Yarrowia lipolytica: one gene and its partners. The protein of the gene in region 4 interacts with the protein of the main gene of each other region in a pairwise test. Links are inferred from orthologs where the notes say so. Each region holds a gene or a part of one and is shown on either strand. Other genes may lie near its edges.

What was found.
Region 1: the proteins of YALI1_E35580g (region 4) and YALI1_B17908g interact in binary tests that used the Saccharomyces cerevisiae proteins (3 or more experiments, as listed by UniProt). The link is inferred for Yarrowia lipolytica from reciprocal best matches to the Saccharomyces cerevisiae genes RRP5 and UTP21.
Region 2: the proteins of YALI1_E35580g (region 4) and YALI1_D28518g interact in binary tests that used the Saccharomyces cerevisiae proteins (3 or more experiments, as listed by UniProt). The link is inferred for Yarrowia lipolytica from reciprocal best matches to the Saccharomyces cerevisiae genes RRP5 and UTP20.
Region 3: the proteins of YALI1_E35580g (region 4) and YALI1_B15692g interact in binary tests that used the Saccharomyces cerevisiae proteins (3 or more experiments, as listed by UniProt). The link is inferred for Yarrowia lipolytica from reciprocal best matches to the Saccharomyces cerevisiae genes RRP5 and BRX1.

The regions. Positions count from the first base shown.
Region 1 is NC_090771.1:1,787,189-1,793,040, forward strand, and holds YALI1_B17908g (uncharacterized protein), read right to left. Parts: upstream 3,775-5,852; coding exon 3,676-3,774; intron 3,626-3,675; coding exon 845-3,625; downstream 1-844. Other genes in the region: YALI1_B17927g (uncharacterized protein), read left to right, coding at 5,566-5,852. UniProt on the Saccharomyces cerevisiae protein: Involved in nucleolar processing of pre-18S ribosomal RNA and ribosome assembly.
Region 2 is NC_090773.1:2,848,918-2,854,410, forward strand, and holds the start of YALI1_D28518g (uncharacterized protein), read right to left. Parts: upstream 3,505-5,493; coding exon 3,463-3,504; intron 3,158-3,462; coding exon 2,880-3,157; intron 2,825-2,879; coding exon 1-2,824. Other genes in the region: YALI1_D28537g (uncharacterized protein), read left to right, coding at 4,731-5,493. UniProt on the Saccharomyces cerevisiae protein: Involved in nucleolar processing of pre-18S ribosomal RNA and ribosome assembly.
Region 3 is NC_090771.1:1,567,196-1,571,080, forward strand, and holds YALI1_B15692g (ribosome biogenesis protein BRX1), read left to right. Parts: upstream 1-2,061; coding exon 2,062-2,922; downstream 2,923-3,885. Other genes in the region: YALI1_B15670g (uncharacterized protein), read left to right, coding at 1-927; YALI1_B15703g (uncharacterized protein), read right to left, coding at 2,931-3,163, 3,206-3,287; YALI1_B15706g (uncharacterized protein), read left to right, coding at 3,464-3,885. UniProt on the Saccharomyces cerevisiae protein: Required for biogenesis of the 60S ribosomal subunit.
Region 4 is NC_090774.1:3,555,803-3,563,366, reverse strand, and holds YALI1_E35580g (uncharacterized protein), read right to left. Parts: upstream 5,390-7,564; coding exon 686-5,389; downstream 1-685. Other genes in the region: YALI1_E35559g (uncharacterized protein), read left to right, coding at 7,476-7,564.

The DNA of each region.
Region 1 (5,852 bases), on a different chromosome or scaffold from region 4:
TTTGAGACGCAAGGTAGATAGTGATATTATAGGGATCAGGAGTGATGGACCGTCGTGATTTTTTGACCAGCGGTTCAATTGCTCCTAATTATTTGTTATTCAAAATTTCAGCTTGGTGCCACTTTTTTCCGTCCCGTTACATAGATCCTCTTGCAACGACAAAACACGCCCACGTGCCTAGGTTAGGGTTGTCGAAATATTAGACTACATGTGGAGAGTGTGGAGACGATCATAGAAGGGGAAACTGGAGGACGACATAGTTGAGACGGCTCTCGAAACGTTCTCGATAGGGGGAAAAGACAGTGATTAATAATGACCCTAATATAAGCTATTTGGTTCATTCTGCTATTCTCTGTGCCGCATCGTACCCTTCACCTGTCATCACTATAAGTACTGGTGTCTTCTCATACAATGCTTGTGGTTCCTTTGCTGCATATTTCACAGTGGCTGTGTGGCGCATGACGTAATATTATAGTGCTGTACAAGTATACACTCTACAAGTAGTACAAGTTCAGTCAGGATACCATGAACTTCTGCCTACAAAGGTACATTATACTACAAGACGTATTATCAACTGAACTGTGTATTGGCTGCTTTGGTCACGTAATTCGAGTGCTTGTTGTAAACGTGGTCTACAGTAACTACAAGCGCGGTATCATACTACCTTGTAGATGAAGGATAACTACGCTTGAACTTGGAAGTAACAATGTCTATCATTACTGTTACCTTTGCTATACCTACTGTATGGTGTACTGTGACACCTTCTCATCATATCTCTACTCCAGTATCCAAAAACATGCATTATTCTAACATTTTCCACCCAAACAGCCCTTATGGGTTCTGCTTAGTATCCAACTCGCAGATAGTTGATGACTCCCTGGCAGTACTTGACAATATCCTCCATTCTGTTGGACTCGTGCTGGTTGAGCTCCTTCCATCTGGTCAACGACCCCTTCAGAGGCTCACAGGGCTGCTGCTGAACCTCGTCCTCCTCTTCGTCCTCAACAATCTTAGGGTTGAGAGCAGACATGATAACGTCTCCATGGCAGCGCAAGAACATGTTCATCCATGCCTGGCCCAACTCGTAGTTGGTTCGCTTCTCTAGAACAGCTGCCATGGCGTCCACAAACGCAATCAGCTCGGTGTATGGAGCCCAGGAGTTGAGAGATCGGATCTCGAGATCGGTCTGGGCAGGAGACATACCCGCCAGATGGTCAATGAACTCATGGTACTCGCCGGACTGAGCAGCCTCTCGGAGAAGACGAGAAAATGCAGATTCTCCAATAGCATCGAAATTAGAGGGGACAAGTCCATCGGGGCATGAAGTAGCCTCCTCGGGCTTCTTGTCGGCACCGGTAAGCTGTAGGAAGAAAGGAGCCTGCTCAGGAGCCTTGGGGGCCTCCTTGGGCTTGTTTCGCATCTTGATGGTGTCCAAATGCACAAGAGTGTTCATCTTGGAGGAGGGAGCAAGAGACAGGGTCAGCAGAGACTCCTCGATCTGGGCAATCGAAGCAGCCAGACTCTGATCCTCTGTCTCGGTCTCCTCAAAGGCACCATCCACAACCGAGGATTGAGCCAGAGAGCCGACGGCATCAATCTGGGCAACCTCAGAAGACTCAATCTCGGGAGCAGGAGCAGACGAAATGTCTACAAACTGGCCCCGGTTGGACCACAAACACACACCGTTTCCGGTCACGTGAGCTGTGGCTAGCCAGTCGCCGTTTCTGCTCATCTCGACGTTTGTAGCTACAGTGTCGAGTCGAATAACATCGATACAGGCTCCAGTCAGCAGATCCCAGGTGCAGATGGTCGAGTCGAGAGATGCTGAAATAACCCACTTTGCATCGGGAGAAAAACAAATGTCGGTGATTTGGTTGGCGTGTCGGCCCTCCAGAACTCGAACCACTCGCTTGGTGATGGTGTCGATGACCACGACGGAGAAGTCGTCCAGAGCACAAGCAATGAGATCTGACGAGTCATGCAGAACCAGCTTGGTGATAGGAGCAGCGAGGGTCACAGTCTCGAGCAGCTTACCAGTGTGGAAGTCGTTGAATCGCACCTTTCGGTCCAGAGAAGTCGTGATGACTTCTCGGTTCAGCGAATCAACCACGATGCCTGTGATGGCCTTCTTCTTGGGGGTACCCTGTAGCTTGCGTCGCAGGATGCCTGACTGCAGGTTAAAAATGTCAACGGATCCAGTAGCAGATCCAACCACACCAAAGTTACCACACTGAGTCACAGTCACAGTCTGTGCGATGCCACCATCTGAAGTGGGCAATCTGTGAGCTCCAACTCGTCCTCGGTGTCCGTCCCAAGTCTGTGCCCAGTTCTCGCCCTTGTGAGTTGTCAGAATCGAGTCCCATTCCTGCTGTCTAAGCGAAGTCTGGGCTAGAGAAGTGACAGGAGGAAGTTTGACACGCATCTTTTTAGAGGGTCCGGCAGCTCGAGTTTTGCTGGCGAAAGGGTTGTTCTTCTGCTCCTCCGTGAGCTTGGACACCTGTGAGAATTCCTGGTTCTGAGCATCCTTTCGGAGCGAGAAGCGCCACATGGACGCGTCTCCGGAGGCTGAGACCAGAAAATGGGCCTCTTCGTCAACAAACTTGATCGATGTGGGGGGCGCACTGTGACCAGCTCGGTGTCTGAGGGCTCGCGGAGGTGCAATGACTGTTTTGTTGGACTCCGACATGACTGGATCAAACACCCATTCTCGCAGAGAGTTATCTCCACCGCATGTGAGGAAAGCTGGCATTCCGGGCAGGAAGACCAGCGATGTGATTCCTCCCTCACTCTCCTCGTGAGTCTCTCTCAGCACGTGGAGACGTTTCTGGGAATTGAGGTCAAAGAAGAAAGCATCTCCGGAGGCGGTTCCGACACCCAGATGGGCAAAGGAGTCCGACCGGAACGACAAGCAGTTGACCCGCGAGCCGGTGTGAAAGGCCATGAGTCGCTCACCCAGCTTGAGGTTGTAGACGTGCACCTTTCCGGATGCAGTTCCCACTCCAATGTAGTTCACAACGGGAGCGTCAACAATGGCGGTGATCTCGTCGTCAGATCCAATCTCGTTGGTGGAGAAAACAACTTTGCCTGTTCGAATATTCACCAGCAATAGAGACCGTCGAGTTGCCACCACAATCTTGTTGAGGTAGGTGGGGGGATGGATGATGGAGTGCGCAGCTCCCACAGAGTTGGCGAGAGTCACGGTGGTGTAATACTCAAACGGAGGGTCCAGCTCGTCTCTATCTTCCTCCTCGTCCTCGTCGTCAGACTGCTCCTCCTTCTTCTGGCCTCGCTTGAAGACAAAGATCTGTGAGCTGTTGATGGCCACCAGGTTCTCTCCGAAAGATCGCACACACACTAGCTTGTCCTTGGTGTCGCACTCCAGCTTGTACAGTAGCTTACCACGGAAGTAGACGCCAATACAGTTGTCCCAGGTGGCATAAACGTAGGGTCGGTGGAAATGAAGCGACTGGATGGGCGCGGGGGTCTGAGGAGAGGTTACAAACATGAGATGGAGCGTCGAAACATCGTAGATCTGAACGGCTCGGCCCACACTGCATGCAACCAGGAAGTTTCGGCCGAAAGATGACACGGAAATAGGTGTGGAGTTGGCAACATGTCCAATAGTCTGTGTTAGTTTGGTGATGTTGGGTGTAGTGATGGGGGTGTAGTACTCACTCTGAAAGGCGTGAAGATCTTAGAGGGGGTTCCGACAAGTCTGTCACGCACAGTGACCTCGTCAGACTCCACTCTTCGCTTTTTTTCAATCGCAGGCATCGTTTTAGAGCGGGTGTCGGAACGCTATGATTTGTGTGATGCAGCTTGGAAAAAAATATTTGGGTCGTGCATGCCAGAAGTTTATTTGGATGGGTCATAATCTGTACAGTATATGAGGATATGTAAGAAGTTAGGATGAGATGCAGAAATGATAGTAGAAGTATACCGAGAGTATTCTTCGTGTTCTTTTTTAGTGATAGTGGAAATAACTGGTTCTGTTTATATTTTCAAGTTGGGCGATAGAGTTCGGTTTCAAGTGAAGGGAAATTTTTGTTGGATTTTTAGTTGGTACTTGAAGGACTGTCTATGAAAAATGTACGTACGTACTATAAAAATAAGTACTACTTGTGGTGGTGTTTATAAAATACAATAAAATAAAATAAAATAAAATAATGCTCCTCTTTGTGCAGCTCTGTAGCATTGTTAGCATCAGTAGTGGACACTCGACTCTGAAACATCCGAAAGGCTTTATATATATAATATATATATATATATATATTATATAATATATATATTCTACAAGTAGCACATAGAGCACTCAAAGTACAAATAAGTACATACTGTATATCATACTGTATGGTACTTACAGTGCTCTGTCTCACTACAAGTGTGCTCGTAACAATTACTTCTAAGTAAGACGTGCAAAACTATATCGGAAGATCCAAATTGGAACGACTGGTGGAAACGATTAATAACAACGGGATGTGTGCGACCCAGCAACTTGAGATGCCGACACTGTCTATATAGAGCCCTCCTTCTACACCACTGTAACATTTGGCCTTGCGCTCACGATACGTCTGTCTTCTTTGCATGTGAGCGGCAACGAAACTTTGGCTCCACAATAGCGAGCACGTGGATAGATACAATGGAGTAGATTGAGGGGACTGTAAAGCCACTATTGTGGGGTATTATAGTAGGTGGGAGTTTATTGAATTGGAGACAGACTGAGAATTGGTCATTCTATATCTCAATCTGTCGATATCACCCAGTATATATCGGCTTAAGGTCTTCTGTGCTATGCTATATCAACCCACCAAACAAGGCGAAGCTGCTGCATAGACGATCGAGCTGTGGAGACGGTATCGTACAGTAGATAACCGGAAGAACTCAGATGGGGGTGGCTTGCCAAGAGTATACGTCACTCACTCATAAAACAAAAGAATAACTACAAGTGGTCTAATCAATTTTACCACTCCAAAAACAGCCAGAGAACATTTCCCAATCAGCTGCTTGTAGCTCCAGTCCAGTAGAATGGCTCGCTGCACCACGCTGCCTATGCATCTGGTGTTAGCCAAAACCATAAGCAGCGAACAGCACAAACGGGAGTATTAAAAGTTGTTTTACCAGAGACCGATGTCGGATCTTAAAAGGTCAATCGCTGTAAAACTTCCTTTGAAATCGATTTCTTTTTTTTTCATCTTTCTACCCCCTCTCCTTGTCATCCAAACTCCACCCCAGAATCATTGCTTCGATATTCCCAATTGTCGAGCGCAGCATTAGTCTGAACCCTAAAGCTGATCTCGTCGACATCGGGTCTACCTCTCACACATCTTCACACCACCCACCACACCCCCCCCCGTGGAAAAATGTTCAGAACCGTCTCCGACCGTGTCGGCCTCGGCCCCCGCATCCTCGTACGAGCCCTCGGACTCGTCCATCTCCACGTCGTCAATAAAGGCTGCTGTTGAGGGCCGAGCCCGACGGTCCTCTTCCTTCTCTAGCATCAGAGCTGCCTCTGGTACCCCCGACCTGTCCAACCTTCCCAAGATTGGCAAAATTGGTGTCTGTGCGATGGACGTCAAGGCCCGATCCAAGCCATGTCGGCACATTCTCAACAGGCTGCTGGACACGGGCGAATTTGAAACCGTTGTCTTTGGAGACAAGGTGATTTTGGACGAGCCCATTGAGAACTGGCCCACGTGTGACTTTCTCATTTCCTTCTTCTCATCCGGTTTTCCCCTCGAAAAGGCCATTTCCTACGTCAAGCTACGAAAACCCTTCCTCGTCAATGACCTCATTCTGCAAAAAGTGCTGTGGGACCGACGTATCGTGCTTGACCTGCTCGACTCGGCCAATGT
Region 2 (5,493 bases), on a different chromosome or scaffold from region 4:
ATAATGCATACAATACAGCACCGAGTTGAGCAGAATGTCCATGGACGAATGTAACTTGGCTCCAATCTGCTTACCCAGATCCATGGCCAGCTCCAGAAAGAAGATCTGAGACGCCGCAGTTCGAGTCTCGCAGTTGCCCGACAGGGTCTCCAGGTCGCGAGGATTGGGCTCGATCACGTGGTCATCACCGAGAATGTCAAAGTCCTTGGGAATCTCCAGCTGGTCGATTGCCAGAGAAACAAACATGCGAGTGTACTTTTCGGGTAGAGCCAGAAGAGTGGAAAGCACCGCGAACCGCTTTCCGTACCGCGGTCCACTCTTGCTGACCACTCGAGATCGTCCGTAGAGAATCCGGAGCGCCAGAGGGAAGATGACATGCTCGTCGTCTTCATGCAAAACTCGGTCCTTTGAGGGCTTGAGGAAGCTCAGCATCTCGTCCTTGAATTGCGAGTCCTCCAGCAAGTTGAACAGATTGTCCTTGTACTTGCGAACCACCTTGTTCTTCCAGGATAGGATGCACTGAAGAGCTGCCTTCTGAACAGAGTTCATTTTGTTGGTCAGAAGCAGCAGGTATCTCTGATAAATTTCCTCGGCTCGAGGACAGTTCTTGGTGTTGTGAAACAGAGCAAAAATGTCCAGCAACACAATCTTGTCCTTGAGGGTCCACGAGTCGGCAAGTCCATACTCGGAAGACTCAACAGCCTGCTTATCTCGAGAAACACCCTCAGTCCAAAGAAGATAGGGAACCAGCTCCATCACATGGTTCTCAGACACCCGAGGAACAGCCTTGAGCACCTTCAGCACATTGTTTCGCAGGTAAAAGGGCTCCTCAGCAGGGAAAGCCGACTCGGAAAAGTCCTCAAACAGAGCTCCGTTGCTATCGCGAGAAACAAGCTCATTGTACGTCTCAAACAAACCATTCAAGTTATAGTCGGGAGACATGGAGTCGGTGAAGGGGCTGTCCAGAACATGACGTGGCTCGGGCACCCAGTCGTCATCAACCTTGACCAGGTCACGTGCCTGCAAAACGTTGTAGGACAACTTCCACACCAGCTCCGGAAATCGTTCGGCAACATTCTTGAGGGCCTTGATGGCAGCCTCGTGAGCTGGCGTAAAATGAACAGTAAGAAGTCCAAACAGGAAATGAGGCACTGCTGAATCAGCAATCGTATCTGACCCAGACAGGGAGAAGGTTTCTCCGAGCTTCTCGATTCGCTGAACAAGAGACCGCAACGTGGTATAATCAAACGGAATGGATGAAATGACCTTGCACTCATTGACGAGCGCGTTCTGGCCACGTGACAGCTTCGAAATGAGGCTCAGCGTCACGTCCCGCACGTGGGTGTTTGCGGAGGTCAGGTTCTGGGTCAGCAGCACCAGTGACGAGTCATCCAGCTTGGTTGAAGAGTCACAAATGGCCAGCAGACCGGTAATGTAGCCTTCGATTTGTGAAAAGTGTTCCAGGCGGCCCAGGGCTCGTTCCACCAGCTGCTTATCGTCTCCCAATGACCCAATCAGACTCAGAGTGACTCCGTAAAGAGCTCCAGTATACACGTCGTCAGCGGAGAGCTTGGGGAGTAGCTCAATGGCAAACTCGGTCATCTCCTTCTTCATATCGACATTAGAAAGTTTGGTGAACATTCTGATTCGCCAATAGAGGTTGAAGACTGTTTCAGTGGACATGTTCTTCTTGCCAAACGCTACAATCTCCTTCTTCAGAACCTTGCAGGCATCCAGACACTTGATCTTCTCCAGACTGTCGACAAAGAGTGCAATCTGCGAAAGATCATCAGAGAACATGCTGATCAACTGAGGAATGTACTTGACACAGATATCGGTGAACCGTTGACTCTGGACCTTGGCAAGAATTTGGAACGCCACAAAGTATTGCTCACGTGATTTGGACGACAGAGTGGTGAGCAAGGACGTATGGTTGGCCAGCACATTGCTCTGGGCGCCGTTCTGGATGAGCGAGACCACCAGGAGCGCGAACTCGACAATGGCCTTGTCGGAGAGAGTGGAGCAGAAAGCCTTGGCCTCCTGGAAGACTCGAGCCCAATCAGGAACTCGGGAACCCTTTCGGATGGCGGTTATAGTAGTCAGATAGGTCACAGTATCGTAGTTACCGTTGCCTTGGGCATACTGGTAAAAGGTATCAAACACGGCCTGGCCCATGACAGGGTCCTCAATATGCTCCAGCACAACGGCCAAAGTCTCTGAAATCATGGTCACGTGTACTCGGTCGGCCTCGGTGATTGTGTTGTCGTCACAAGCCGCACATGCAAATAACACTTGAAGAATCAAGTCCGTCTTTGAATGAAGAGCTCCCTTGGTGTGTTTGATAGACGCAGCAAACATGGCGGAGACGGCAGAGACGTAATCTCGTGACGAGCCCTCCAGCGTGCTCATCACGTGCGGCACGATCACGTCCAGACCGTCTTGGGAGCACTTTCGGATCAGAAAGGCCAGTGTTTCCGAGGCAAATCTTCGCACAAACGGTCTGATTTTCTTAGGCTTGGGCTTGTCATCCTCCTCGTCGTCAGAGTCTTCCTCCGGGATCTCCTCCTCGTCTTCTTCTCCGTTCTCAATCATCTGCACATCTTCATCTCCTCGGGACAAAAGTACACTGACGCTGTCGTACAGGGGCACCAGGTTGCTAGTCAATAGACGAGCCAGGTACTTGAAAATGTACACCATTGCGTTGAAAGTGTGCTCGACCACCTCGAGATTGAAGTGGTAGGTGAGATTGATGAGAAGTGCGAGAGTTCGGGGGAAGTATGGCTCGAACTCCTCGCCCAGGTCGCGGACAAAGTTGGTGAGTAGACTGGGTTAGTTCTGTATCGGGGACTTCCTCTCCATCCTCCATTTCTCATACTCACTCTAGCAGGGCCTCCACACTGTGTTCATTTCCATCCTCCAGACACTCCTCCAAACCATCGAAAATCTCCTCCTTGTGGAACAGCACCATGGGCAGCGACACGGCGTACTTTCCACATTTTTCCATAAAACGAGTGAAGCTGGTGGACAAGTTCAGCTCAACATGGGTCGTGTAACATGCAATGAAATGCGACGTGTCCGTGTCCCGCGACAGCTTTTTCTTCTGCCGTTTCAGCGGATCGATCTTGATGGCATCAAGACGTTCTCGGAACGATTTGAACTGCATTAGTATGGAATTGAATGTCTCAGCCCAACAGCTGATCCGGTAGGTCTAACGTATCTCCTGGAGCTATGATCCTGGCGGTGGCGATCGCCCAGTAAGCACAGCTAGTGACATCAGTATGCTCGTACAGACCCATGAAAACCGTCTACGATACTTGTAGCTCGAATCGATCTCCAAATTGCCACCCAGATCCGTCTTCGGCTACTGTTTGCAGATCCACATGGAATGGCGCTCCACTCCTCTCACAATCGCTCTAGAGGCGGTCCAACAGCTCATGTGCCCTCCATGTCGCCCATACTCACTCGGTGGTTTTTACCCGACTCGGTTCCAGTTTTAAGAACCATGTTGGACCGTTTCTGAAATTTCGTAGATGTCTGTTTCAACCTCTCGAAAAAAAATATCTTTTAGACTTGCAGTATGCATGTGCGGGTTAGGGTTAGTGGTGATGATAGTACTGTACCCAGGGTGGTTCGGAGATGTGAGTTCGATTCTAGTGACTGTTTTGTGTTTGAGGTGTTTATTTTGGTGTTTAATTTCAGTGGTGTTTTGGTAGTCACATATTGGTGGCTACTGAGCGGTAGATTTCAAGTAACTTGGTAGTTGGAGGGGTTGTCAAGTAACTGAACGGTATTTTAACACTGTTTTTTTGCTAATTTTTTTCCTAAAAAGTCTTTTTTTTTTCTTTTTCAAGACAGTATTTTTTAACGCTGTTCTTTCCGCTTTTTTTTTTTTTTTTTTTTTTTTTTTTTGTTCTAAAAAGATTTTTTTTGTTTTTAATATTTTTTTTCTGTATTATTTTTTTTTTTTTATTTTTTTTTATTTTTTATTTTTTTTATTTTTTATTTTTTATTCATTTATTTATTCCATTTATTTATTCATTTATTTATTTGCACAGTCCTAGTGCTCCTACCCTTCGAGACTGCGGAGTCTCTCACACCTCAGACTGACATTCTCCAACTTCCACATTGCAACTTCACCATTGCAACTTCAACATTGCCCGGTTACACTTGACGAAAGCACTCGCCAGATAAAACAGCGCTAAAACGACTATGGATCGCTTTATCCACATGGCAACAAGTCTAGAACTAGCGTCGAGTGGCTCCACAAGCGTCGATAATCGCCGTGAAACTTAGCCTGTTCCACTAGCTTCGGTATCGGTGGTTCTAGACTGCTCCTAAACGGTCCATGGTGTGGCCTTAGCTGTTCTCTACACCACCCAACTAGTTGTAGGGCTCTGTTTACGAGCTCCTCTAGCCGTCGATAGTGTCGTATCTTCGACTCTCTACACGAATCTATGTCCAGCCTATCAACAGACGACCCACCTCTTTTTTCCCCCATGCTCGTATATATTTGGCCGATTATGCAACAGGGGACACCTGTCCACAAATGGTCCTGCAGGGAGGCCGATAACTGAGGGCTATCAGTCTCTTTTCGGTTGCCCTTTCTTCCGCCTAGTCCGCAAGTGGTTCGGAAATGGCACTAAGAGATAAAAAAAAAAAAACCCCCAGGGTAACATGAGCAAGATTTACCGTTGGGGGGGAGGTGGAGAAGCCGTCCATAACAACACCCAATGTTGCCCGAGCTGATTGAACGAATCTGCAGTTATCTCGAGCTGGCAGACATTGTTGCGCTGCGAAAGACCAACCGCCACTACCGCCAGTCCATCTCCGAGTCGCTGGTGCGGGACAAGCTGATGCAGCAGTGCCCCTACTACCGCCTTGAATACAGCCAGCACGGGAGCTGGAGGACCGGCGGCGCCCATTACGTGCGCGACAGACACATTGACGTGTTCATTGACCTTGTGGAATGCTCCTTCCACACTGACTCGCCTCTGCCGCGCGACTTTGAGTGCCTGTGTACCGACGTGGAACGCACATTTTCGTGGGACTACAACAACCGGGGCATTTGCTTCAACGAGAAGCAGCTGGACCTCAGCGATCTGAACACGGACTTTGCTGTGCCTTGCAACTACGGGGTGAGCTTTGGAGATGCAGGAACAACCATCAAATACCACGGGTTTGGGGTGACGGTCGAGGGACGGATGATTCAGGCCAGACACACGTCCCGGGCCATTGCAGCAATATCTGTGCATCAGGGCCATTTGATGTTGACGGTCAAGTACCCCAACAAGGCTCCTGAGTCGATCAAAATGAACTGCAAGCCTCCCTTGCGGCTGCAGGTGATCGGAGACTGTGTCTATGTATTTGGAAGACACGATCATACCTCAGTCCTGTACTTGATCACTCCTACACGGTGTTCAGAGATGCTACACGCTCAACGGCGACAGCCTCCTGCCGGCATGGTTCTTTACGATGGAAATGTCTACAATGTCG
Region 3 (3,885 bases), on a different chromosome or scaffold from region 4:
TCCCACCTCTCCAATGTTGCCTACTGTATCAATACTCCATTGGAGTCTTTGAAATCTGACTTCTCTTGCGGAGTAGCATGCTCTCACTTTCCTAACATGGAGCTGGTCGAAGTGTTTGGAGGTGAGTTTTTCGAAACCTCCATCACCGGATTTCTTTCTATTGACCATGTCAAGAAAGAGAAGTATGTGGTTTACCGAGGAACCTACGACATCGGAGACGTCTACACCGACATCCAACTGTCCCAAAGCCCCTTTCTCGTCACTCCTTCTGCCCTAGGATCGACTGCAAACCTCTGCGAGGGATGCACTATTCACGACGGCTGGAACAAGGCTTACAATGAGACCATGGGCATTATTGGAGACAAGCTGGCTGATCACGTTAACAGCAACCCTGACTATCGATTGGTTGTTACTGGTCATTCTCTGGGTGCTGCTATTGCGGTACTTTCTGCTACAAGTCTCAAGGTGAACGGTCAGGATCCCTATCTTTACACCTATGGTCAGCCTCGTATTGGAAACGCCAACTTTGCCAATTTTGTCTCCAAGCAGTGGTTTGGCGAAGGAGATGGTCTCAGCATGGATTCTGATAGACGTTACTTCCGACTGACTCACTGGAACGATCTGTTTGTAGGATTCCCCGCTTTCAAGGACTATGTCCACTCTGTGGGAGAAATCTACATTGATTACTTCACTGTCCAGCCTCCTCTGAACAAGGTCTTCTCTTGTGCCGGTCCCGAGAGTATGAGCTGTTACAGAAAGGACTTTAACGCTCTTGCTCGGTTAGACATTGTCAAGAACCACCTGGCCTACTTTGACTGGATCTCTTTATGCACTCTCAATATTGGACGTCGAGATCTGGAGAGAGGGCGCAAGTTTGAAGGTACTTGGCTCTACGGAGGTCTTGCCAACGGTTCCACCATCTTTTAGAAGGTAGAAGAGAGTGACTGGGGATGATCTTTGACCACCAGCTTCCATATTTGAATGACCCTCTTTCAATCTGTATAAATTACTGTAGACTATGATAATATCTTTTGACAATCGTGTAGAAGTACAGGTCGAGAGAATGGACAGTTGCACATATTAAATTTCCTATTCTATAGATGCCACAATTGTATTACTGTAGGTCTTTTGTTTCTCAATATTTCCAGAGTGGTTTGCTGGACTGAGGGTCGCATCGCTCTTGTTTCAATGATTTTATTGTGTTGTATTATTAGGGGGGTGGGTGTGAAGAACGCGGAAACTGACATGACCAACAGGTGATAGAACAGACAAGTTTCCAGAAAAGCTGGTTTTATTCTACTTCACGTAGTCCCCTTCTACAGTATCATTGTGGATTCTGTGGAACCATAGGCACCAAAGGAGTATCTGAAAGTAAACAGAAACGATTGAGGGCATGTTAATGAATATACTTGAGACTAAACATAGATTCACATGTGCTAGTACCGGTATATAAGACAAATACCTTCTTTTTTTGCACCTAGGATATACTGTACTTGTATGAGCAGGGTACCTGGACATACATCGTCCCCAACCCAACTCTGGTGTTCCGACTAGACTCGATATGAGTCTTGAAATTTGAGCGAGCACGCTGCGCAGACATTGGGTATGATGGATGAAAAGAGCGCTTCGTTTGTGCAATTGACCAGGGATGCTTGTTGCTGAATCATCTCATGATTTTAATCAAAATTTGTAGTTACAAATACTTGAACTTGTACTTGTAGAGTAAATGTTCAGTTCTTTTGATAACTGTAGCTAACATACATGCTGACTGCTGTGCTTTCAAATTCAGCACAATTGCACACCTCCAGGTGGCAAAATGAGCGCTAAAGTTGAATAATTGAAGTATAGCCAATGAAAGACCAGCTTACAAAAGAATAGAAGTCTTTTTCTTGCATATATTCAAAATCTACCCTTGTACCAAAATGAAGGATTCATCACCAAGTTTCAAGACACACTTCAAGGATTTTGAGTTTAACCCTAAAAAATATTTCTGCATGAATCGTGAAAATAAAATCCCAATCAGTATAGCATCACACACACAACACACACACTACACACACAATGTCGACACTATACAAGACCTTGAGCGGCGAGAGCTCTAAGCCCGAGAAGACCGAGAAGAAGGACGATGGAGTGACCAACAAGCAGCGAGTGCTGATCATCACTTCTCGAGGAGTGACCTTCCGACAAAGACATCTCATCAGCGATCTCCAGACCATGCTTCCCCATGGTCGAAAGGAGTCCAAGCTCGACACCAAGTCCAAGTTGTACCAACTCAACGAGATTGCTGAGATGTACAACTGCAACAACATTCTGTACTTTGAGGCCCGAAAGCATATGGATCTGTACATGTGGATGGCCAAGGCTCCCAACGGTCCCACCGCCAAGTTCCACATCCAGAACCTGCATACCATGGACGAGCTCAACTTCACCGGCAACTGTCTGCGAGGATCTCGACCTATTCTGTCCTTCGACAGCAGCTTTGACGACACCCCTCACAATGCCGTGATCAAGGAGATGCTGACGCAGACCTTTGGTGTCCCCAAGGGTGCCAGAAAGTCCAAGCCCTTCTTCGACCACGTCTTCACCTTTTCGCTGGTGGACAACAAGGTCTGGTTCCGAAACTACCAGATCCAGGAGACTGTCAACGAAGAAAACCCCCGAGAGACCGACATTTCTCTGGTTGAGATTGGTCCCCGATTTGTCATGACTCTCATCACCATGCTTGAGGGCTCTTTTGGAGGCCCCGTAATTTTCGAGAACAAGCAGTATGTGTCCCCTAACACTGTCCGATCGCAGATGAAGCAGCAGGCCGCTGAGCAGGCCGCCAGCCGAGCCGAGGCTGCCTTCAAGCGAAAGGTCAAGGTCAGAGATGCTGTTATTGCTGCTGACCCTCTCGCTGACTCTGTGATTTTCAAGTAAGCCAATGGCTAGAAGTGCAAGATTGAGCGGGTATTAGAGAGCAGCAGCATAGCTCGAGCGAAGGATACTGATAATAGAGTCGACTGGCTGTACGGACCGACTAGGAAAAGGTACATTAATAGATATGATGAATTTGATTGATAGACAGTAGAGGAGTACCAACTCTTACTTGTAGCAGCTTTGGCTATATGGCTTGTTACTGGTACTGGGAATGGCTGTATTGTTCTGTGGAGTGTTACAGCTAGAATGGTAGATACAGGGAAGACTCGTCAGATATGAAGACTCACAATTGATGTTGCTGCATCGTATATCCTCACTACAGTACATCCATACATGTCACTTGAGAAGTCGTGTTTACGATACATCGACATGTGTGCGTAACTAACCGTCGAACAAGCGTAAGATAAAGACACAAAAGGCACACTGTAAATAAAGCAGAGGCACTTAGGCCGTGCCACCATTTAATATATAAACGTCCGCCAATACGACCAGACTCACATATACAACCTAGATACAACAGATACATCATTGAGACAATCGAATGGCCACTCGACCTGTCACGTCAACACGAAACATTGCTCTCGGGTTTCTCGAAAAAGAGCTGGAAGAACACAAACAGCAGCTGTCGACCCAGAGGAGAGAGCTCGACATACGATTGAAACCTCTTAGAGACGAGAAGAACGAAGTTGTTAATGAGATCAAGAGTGCTCACAGCCTCCTTGACGGTCTTCAAGCCAAATTGAAGGACTTCGAAGACTTAGACAAGCGATTGAATGAACAGATCAAGGAGGAAGAGAAGAAATTCGAAGATGAGTTTGAGGGTCTGATGGCTAGGATTACGGGTCTCAAGGCTGCCCTCACTGAGCTAGGGAGTGTAAGACAATCTGTGGAGGTGAAGAAGGAAAAGGGTGTGATTGAGTTGGGTAGTGGAGGGGATGAGGGGTTGGAAGATGTCGTGAGTCG
Region 4 (7,564 bases):
GCTGTAATGAATCATGAGAATAAAAAAATAAAAAAATAAAAAAAACCGAGTCCGATATTCGGGTATAACATTGTTTGTAGGCATCAAGTAGTTGAAATGTATTTCCATAGAAAAATAATAAAAAAATTCCTTCTACCAGCAACGTGTGGATCCCCCCATGGCCCTGATGTCCGAAGTGTAGATCGATAATCTCTTATTCCTTCTGCCGATAACGCCCCGTGAGGCCATGGGCAATTGGCACAAGCATTTCACTGTCATGAAGAACTATGTTTGGATGGCCCTGCTCGATCAGGAACGCGACCCCAAACATGAACTTTGGCTACAAGCAAACCAGCTACCAGGCAATCATAACAGGATAAATGCCCGGAGGGCCGAAAAGCTCCACATGCTCCGACTGTGTCGTCTTCCTGTCTTCAGATACCCGGCCCAGGCCACAATGGAGGATAGTGTGCTAGTTGAGGCTCAGTTTGACCTCATGAACTTCATCCGAGAATGGGCTCACGCCATCTGGCGTTTTGAGGCATTGTGGGCACGGACCCACAAGTCAAGCAGGACCACCGGTACTTGTTCCAATAGTCTTCGCTTACTGCTACTATATACAATACAGGTACAAGTCTTAACGTAATTCTATCATTAATAATCAATTAATACCAATACTATCACAAACCAACAATCCACCGTTCTTTTACTCATCCTCCTCCTCATCCTCCTCCTCATCCTCCTTTGTTCGCTGAGTAACGTAATCCGCCGCCTTGGCCTTGACGTACTCGGCGGCCTTGTCGTCGTCAGACTCAACCTCGTACTGGTACCACTTCTTGAAGAAGAACTTGGCCTGCTTGAGAGACAACTTGGGCAAGGCAACAACTCGCTCAAACAGAGCCTCGATCTTGGTCTTGTCCTGGCCATACTTGATCTCAAAGTCGACAAACTGAGACCACAGATCGGTTCGCTTGGGGTAGACAGACACCAGACCCTCCAGAAGAGTTCGGCCTCGTTCAGCATCTCCAGACTTGTACTCAAGCTGGGCGAACTTGATGGCACACTGGAGATGGTCTCGCTTGGGCAGGGCCTTGGTGGCTCGATCCAACAGAACTCGGCCCTTCGCAGCCTGCTCGTTATCAAACAGGAAAGTGGCGTACTTGATCCACGCCTCCATGGAGCCAGAGAACTTCTTGACAGCTTTGGCATAGACCTCGTCTGCCTTGTCCTTCTTGTCAGAAGCAGCGTAAATGTCAGCCATCTTCATGTAGATGGTCTCGGCGTCCATGTACTGAGCAGCGTCCTTGAAGGTCTTGTCGGTGGACTCGGGAGTGCCAAAAGTGTTCTCCAAATTGAGAAGAGCGAGCCAGACGTTGAGTTTCTCATCCTCATCTCGGTAAGAGATGGTCTTAAGAGCACGCTGGGCAATCTCTCGAGCCTTCTCAAGCTCGGAGAGCTGCATGACGAAAGACATGTAGGAGATCCACAAAACAGAGGAGTTGGGGTTGCCAACAAGCAGACGCTCGTAATCACCAACAGACTGAGGGGTGGCAGTCGAAAGATCAGCAGTGATGTCAGCAATCTGAGTCTTTCGCTTCTTTCGAGACTTGGGGGCATCATCTTCCTCGTCAGACTCATCATCGTAATCAGAACCATTCTGCTCCTCCTCCTTTCCGAAGACGTCTCCCGACCAGTCAAAGCCAACATCCATGGCAGTGGACTTGGCCTTCTTCTGCTGCTGCTTGGTAGATCGAATGGTGGGGATAGACTCATCCTCAGAGTCGTCCTCGTCCTCATCATCCTCACTGTCTTCCTCATCCTCCTCGGAGTCCTCTTCGACCTCCATCTCGATATCGCTGTCCTCCTCGTCATTGTCATCCTCATCACCCTCGAAGTAGGCAGCCTTCATTCCAAGCGAGACCTTGCTGCCCTCAATCTTGAGAACAATAACTCGGACCTTGTCACCCGAATTAAAGAGCTCTGAGCAATCACCAACAGGGGTGTCGGCAATCTCGGATCTATGACACAGACCAGTAGCGTCTCCAATGTTGACAAAGACACCATAGTCGGTAGTTCGCTGGACAGAACCGTCGTACTTCTGGCCAACAGTGAGATCCTGGGGACCCTCAATGAGCTTGTCACCAGTCATATGACGCTGCTTGAGAGACATGTCGGGGAGACCCTTGTCAGAGAAGCCCATGATTCGACCAGTGACGATTTGACCGATCTTAAAATACTTCTTCCAGTCCATGAGGAAAGAGTCGGACAAGTTAGTGATCTTGACTCGAGCATCGATGCCGTGGCCAATAGCAACGAAGATACCGGCAGCAATACCAGTGACGACACCCTTGACCTTGTCACCTCGCTTGAGGGGGAGCGAAGGGAGAGGATCGACACCCTCCGGGTTCTTTCGAATGCAAATGGCGTAGGGCTCCTTGGCAGAGCAGATGACAGCGGGAACAGTCTCACCAATGTCGTAGACATTGCTGAGCTTGAGAGAGTAATCATCGACAGCATCCACAAGAGAGGCTGTGGCAGTGGAGGACTTGCCATTGACGTTGATAGTGCACTGAACGTAGTCAACCTCAATCTTCTTGACTCGAGCAGTCACCTGAGCACCCTGAAGTCCGTTGGAGGCGGGCAGCGCCTCTTCTGAGAAGCCCTCAGACTTTTCCTCGGACTGAGCTCCTCGAAGCTTGACTTTGTCACCCTCAATACCGCAGACAGAAACCTCGACAAGGTCACCAACAGCATCAGCGAAGTCAGCCTCCTGAACATCAGCTCGATCCAGACGGCCGACAATGTAGGCAGACAGAGCCACCCAAATGGAGTCCGCAGTAGACTGAACAACGACACCAGGGTAAGCCTTGCCCTCCTCAAGATTATTGATAGAAAGTCGAACATCGTTAGTAGCCAGCTCGATCTGATCACCCTGAGAAGAGGGACCAAGTACGGTCACAGAGATCTTATCGTCCTTCTCAACAGGAGTTTCGAGCTGAGAGAGTGAGATTCGACCGTTCTGGTTGTCGGAAAGACGGACAGAGACGAAGGAGGGGAGAACAGCAGTAACAATACCCTCGGTCTTCTTACCCTCAGAGTAGTCAGCAATGGTAGAGATGCTGGGGTCAACGGGGTTGACGGCAGGACCATTGAGAGACTTTCCAATAGAGACCGCAAACTTGTCGCCGTTGACAGAAGTCACTCGACCCTTGACAACCTGGAACTTGTCATAAGAGTCATCACTAAGAGATGCCTGAGGAGCAAGACCGACAACACCTGCAAAAGACACAAAGACACCGTGCTGGTTGACGTTCTGGACCCAACCGGTGACAGTTTGGCCAACAGAAGGAGTCTCCTTGATCAGAGTCTTGTTATGGTATCCCTTGATGATGTCAGGATGAGCACCGAGAGTCATAGAGCTCATCCACGGCTGCTTGGCAAGGACAACGCACTCCAGCTTGTCTCCCACACGCAGCTTCTTGTGACTAGGAGGGAGCAGGTTTCGAGGAACAACGCCAGTGAGATCGACATCACCAACGGTCATCTCGATAACAAAGTCACCTCGTTTGTCAATGATCTTACCGGTAACAAGGTCTCCAAGAGAGATGCCCTCGTAGGCACCAGAGACATGCTCAGCGGCAACCTTGGAGAGCTTGCAGGAGACCTGCATAGACTGCTTCTCAGGGTTGATATCCAGAATTCGGATCTTGACGGTCTGGCCAACTCGACAATGCTTGGTAATGTCAGCGATGAAAGCCTCAGACACCTCTCCAGCAGGAAGCCAGGCCTGAGAGTTGTCCCAGAACTCGACGACACACCCTCCAGGCTTGACATTTACAACTGTTCCAGAACCAATGTCGCCAATCTCAGACGCGTAGGAGATAAAATCGTCCTTAGGCAAGTTGTAGAGAGACTTTTTGATGGTCATTCGGCAACCGCTGCTGTCCACACCGAGAAGTCGGCCCTTTATCTTGGATCCAATCTTGAATTTGAGCTCGGGGTTGGCCATCTTGGCATCAACAAGATGAGCAGCAGGCACAACAGCGGTGATGAAAGATGACAGTGCCACGATAATACCGCCCTTGGGGAGATGCCTAGTTACAGTACCTTCGACCTTGTCACCAGCAGACAAATCACTGGTGGCAATGTACTTGGCATCCATGACAGACTGCTCACAAGACAAAACGTACATCTCGTCCTGGGGGGCAAAAGCGATAATTCTGGCATCAAGAGTCTGGCCAACCTCGTAGTCGGCTGTAGAATCGGTCTTCTCATCAGCGAGCTTGGAGATGTGAATGAAACCAGGAATGTTCTCGGCGAGCTCAACAAACAGACCGTGCTGAACGACATGAGTGACCTTGACGCCCAGAACTTGTCCAGGAAGGAAAGCCTCACCGATTCTGGGGTCAGCATCCTCCAAGTTGACGACGTGGGGCAGAGCAGAGAGAAGCATTCGCTTGCCGCTGGCACCACGGTCGAGAGTAGCGACAACTCGGGCAACAGAGCTAGTCTTTTCCTCAAGGCCAAAGGATCCCTGGAAGGGATCAATGGTGGCATCAACGGAACCGAAGACGGAAACCACTGCTCCGTTATTTCGCTTATCGGTGGTGACGACTGTGACTGGGGTACCAGCGACAGCGCTGGAGAAGTCCTCTAGTTGCCGGACGGCCTCACCGGTATGCTCTGTGTCCAGGGTGATTGTTCGGCCACTGATTCGAAGCACGCAAGCCAACACGATTTGTCCCTTGTTGAGTTCAACGTCGGTGTCCTTGATAAAGCCCTTTTTGCCCTTGATACCGGTAGCAACAACGTAACCCTTATCCTCCTTCGACTTGACCTCAACCTGCAGAGCCATGTTTGCGTCAATGTCACTGTCCTCAATATCCCTGTTGACATCCTTGGGCAGCAGACTGAGACCCAGACGCTTGTTAGAGGTATCGACGACAGAAGCTCGAACCCACTGTCCCTCCTTGACGTAGTCCGAAAGGTCGAACTCCTCGCCCTCCTCGATTTTGGCGTTGAGTGCCTCACTGACCTGAACACAAGACACGAAACCATGCAGGTTGTTGGGCAGCGAAACGACACAAGCGGTGGACTGGATATTGACGATTCGTCCGAGAATAATGGAACCAACAGAGATATTGTCCAGAGAAAGAGACTGGATCGCAACAATGTCGCTCGTCACAGCCTGCTTTGCCTTTCTTCCACCCTTCTTCTTGGAGCTCTTGGCGGCCTGTGATTCCTCGAACAGGTCCTTCGCAGCTTCATCGGCAGTCTGTCGAATCTCCATGGCAGACAGCACTCCAGCTCCTCCTCGGGGGAACGCGCCCTCCTCCATCTTGAGGCTTGACTTGTATTCCGGTTTTTCTGATTTCGTCTTCTCAGACACCTCAGAATGCTTTCGTTTCATTTTCGTATGATGTATGTGTGCGAGAGTAGCACCAATGGACTGAAATTTATTTTACCTACAATCCCAAATTTTTTGCACCTTGCATGAACCCTGAACCTTATCATGTTCCACAATTGGTGGCGGTGGTGGATACTGGAGGATTGTCGCATAAATTTGGGAGTTCGGCAATGGTTTTGTACAAGCCGTCAAGCTGGATTAGTAACCCAGAGTTAGAAGAATGTATCTGAGAAGACAGGCTCCATATATAACTATGTAGGCGGCACGGCCCCCAGGCTGGTTGAGGTTGATAGGTAGGGGGGGTACGGGAGTGGTGTGGCGCTTCTTGTAGTGTTCCTACCTGGAGTATGTACATACTGTAGTGGAGAGAGACGAATAAGGATATTTCTGGGCTACAGTAACAAACTCAAGTCAAATTATTGGTACAAATTCGACGGTAAGACCGTAGAAGAGAAGCCCATGAGGCAACAGCCCTACAACCGGATAAAGCCAAATGTTTTAGATACTCTGACATATTAATCTCTTAATGGAAAGGAAAGTAACAGATTAATTATATATTTTTATTCTAATGATTCATTACAGTTATATACCTAGTAAGCCGGGTTATTGGCGTTCAATAAAATCATACAAACTTCTGAATTCTTTGCCATATGTGGCGCTGGGGGGGCGCTGTCGGTTTGGTTTGTCGACGCTTCGTCTAGTTGATGTCATTTTCGTGGTCTCGTGGTAGTGAATCATGGCTAACAGATCAAGAAATCAAATCAATCGTTTCATGTCTTATCCAGACTCGAGGTTGCCGCTGGTCTGAGCTGAACTACTGACTAAACCGGATCTGGTTTCTGACATGAAAGAAATTTCGCCTTCGTGGCCAAGTGGTAAGGCGCAGCACTAGTAATGCTGAGATCATCAGTTCAAATCTGGTCGAAGGCAATTTTTTTGGTCTACAGGACTTATTAAAGTAACTTGAGCATCCTCAATAAATGATTAATGTTTTGCTACTTGATCGGTGGGATTACCCTTATGGTCACTGTAACTCGCAAATGTGTTTTTTCACGGACGTATCTTTCTCCATGACATCATCCAACGGCGTCTCTCTTTTCCACAAACTTCCATCTACATAGACACCGCACCTTGGTGACAGAGTTCAATGATTCGGTTGCTGCTGCAGGCCCCAACGGCGCCAATATATAAATATCCAGTCTCTCTGAGCGAATACTCTTTCTTCAACACCAAAAACAAACCCACACTACATTCCCAATGAGCGACAAAATCCCCACTGCTTCCGGCTCTTTTCCCTCTGGAGTTGTTCCCTCCGACCCCGTTCCCGACTGCAAGGACAAGAAGGAGACCACGCAGGGCTCTTTCCCCGCCGGTGTCGCCAAGGACAAGCAGTAAATCGCTGAAGTAGATTTGTTTGAGGCTATCGGCAGCGGCCTGGCGACTGGATCAAACGATACATATGTTGATACGGGTACAAGTACAAGTACACGTTGGAACGTCTTCTGAACGTCACCCTTATTTAATGAATGAATAGACCATCTGAATCGATGAGGTATACCAGTACAAGTACAAGTACATGGAGTCGGAGTTGGTGTGGATATGAGGAGTGCCATGAGAGAATAAAGGCGCTCTGATGCCTGGAGTGATCTGCTACTTGTACAAGTGCTTGTACACTACGTCGCTTACATACTCCTATCCAATACGATTTCAACTCAACGGTAAAGCTATATACACTTCCCGATTAGGGTAGAAGCCATAGTAGTTCAGAATATGTGGCAACCGAAATGAGAGGCAAAAGTCATGTTTTCTTCGGGGTGTCATCGAATTTACTTCTGAGATATACTCCAGTCGTTGTTTAACTTGGTCTTCACTCAAACAAACATTTACTATCACGAAGGTCATATCCCTAGGCACCCCTAATGCACCTACTTGTAGAATCACGATACCGACGAACTTTATCTGCGTTGTTCTTCCAGAACCTCTCCCATACACTACTTGTAATAGCTACAATCTGCAAAAACAGATTTGATCAAGCCGCCATCAGAACCATTTGCACGCCAAAGCTGCGCATCACACAGACTCCATTCCGATGGCGACCAAAGCAGCTAACAAACGACTAGTCAAGGAGTACGCGTCGATACAGGAAAACGCTCCTCCTTACATCACCGCGAAACCAGC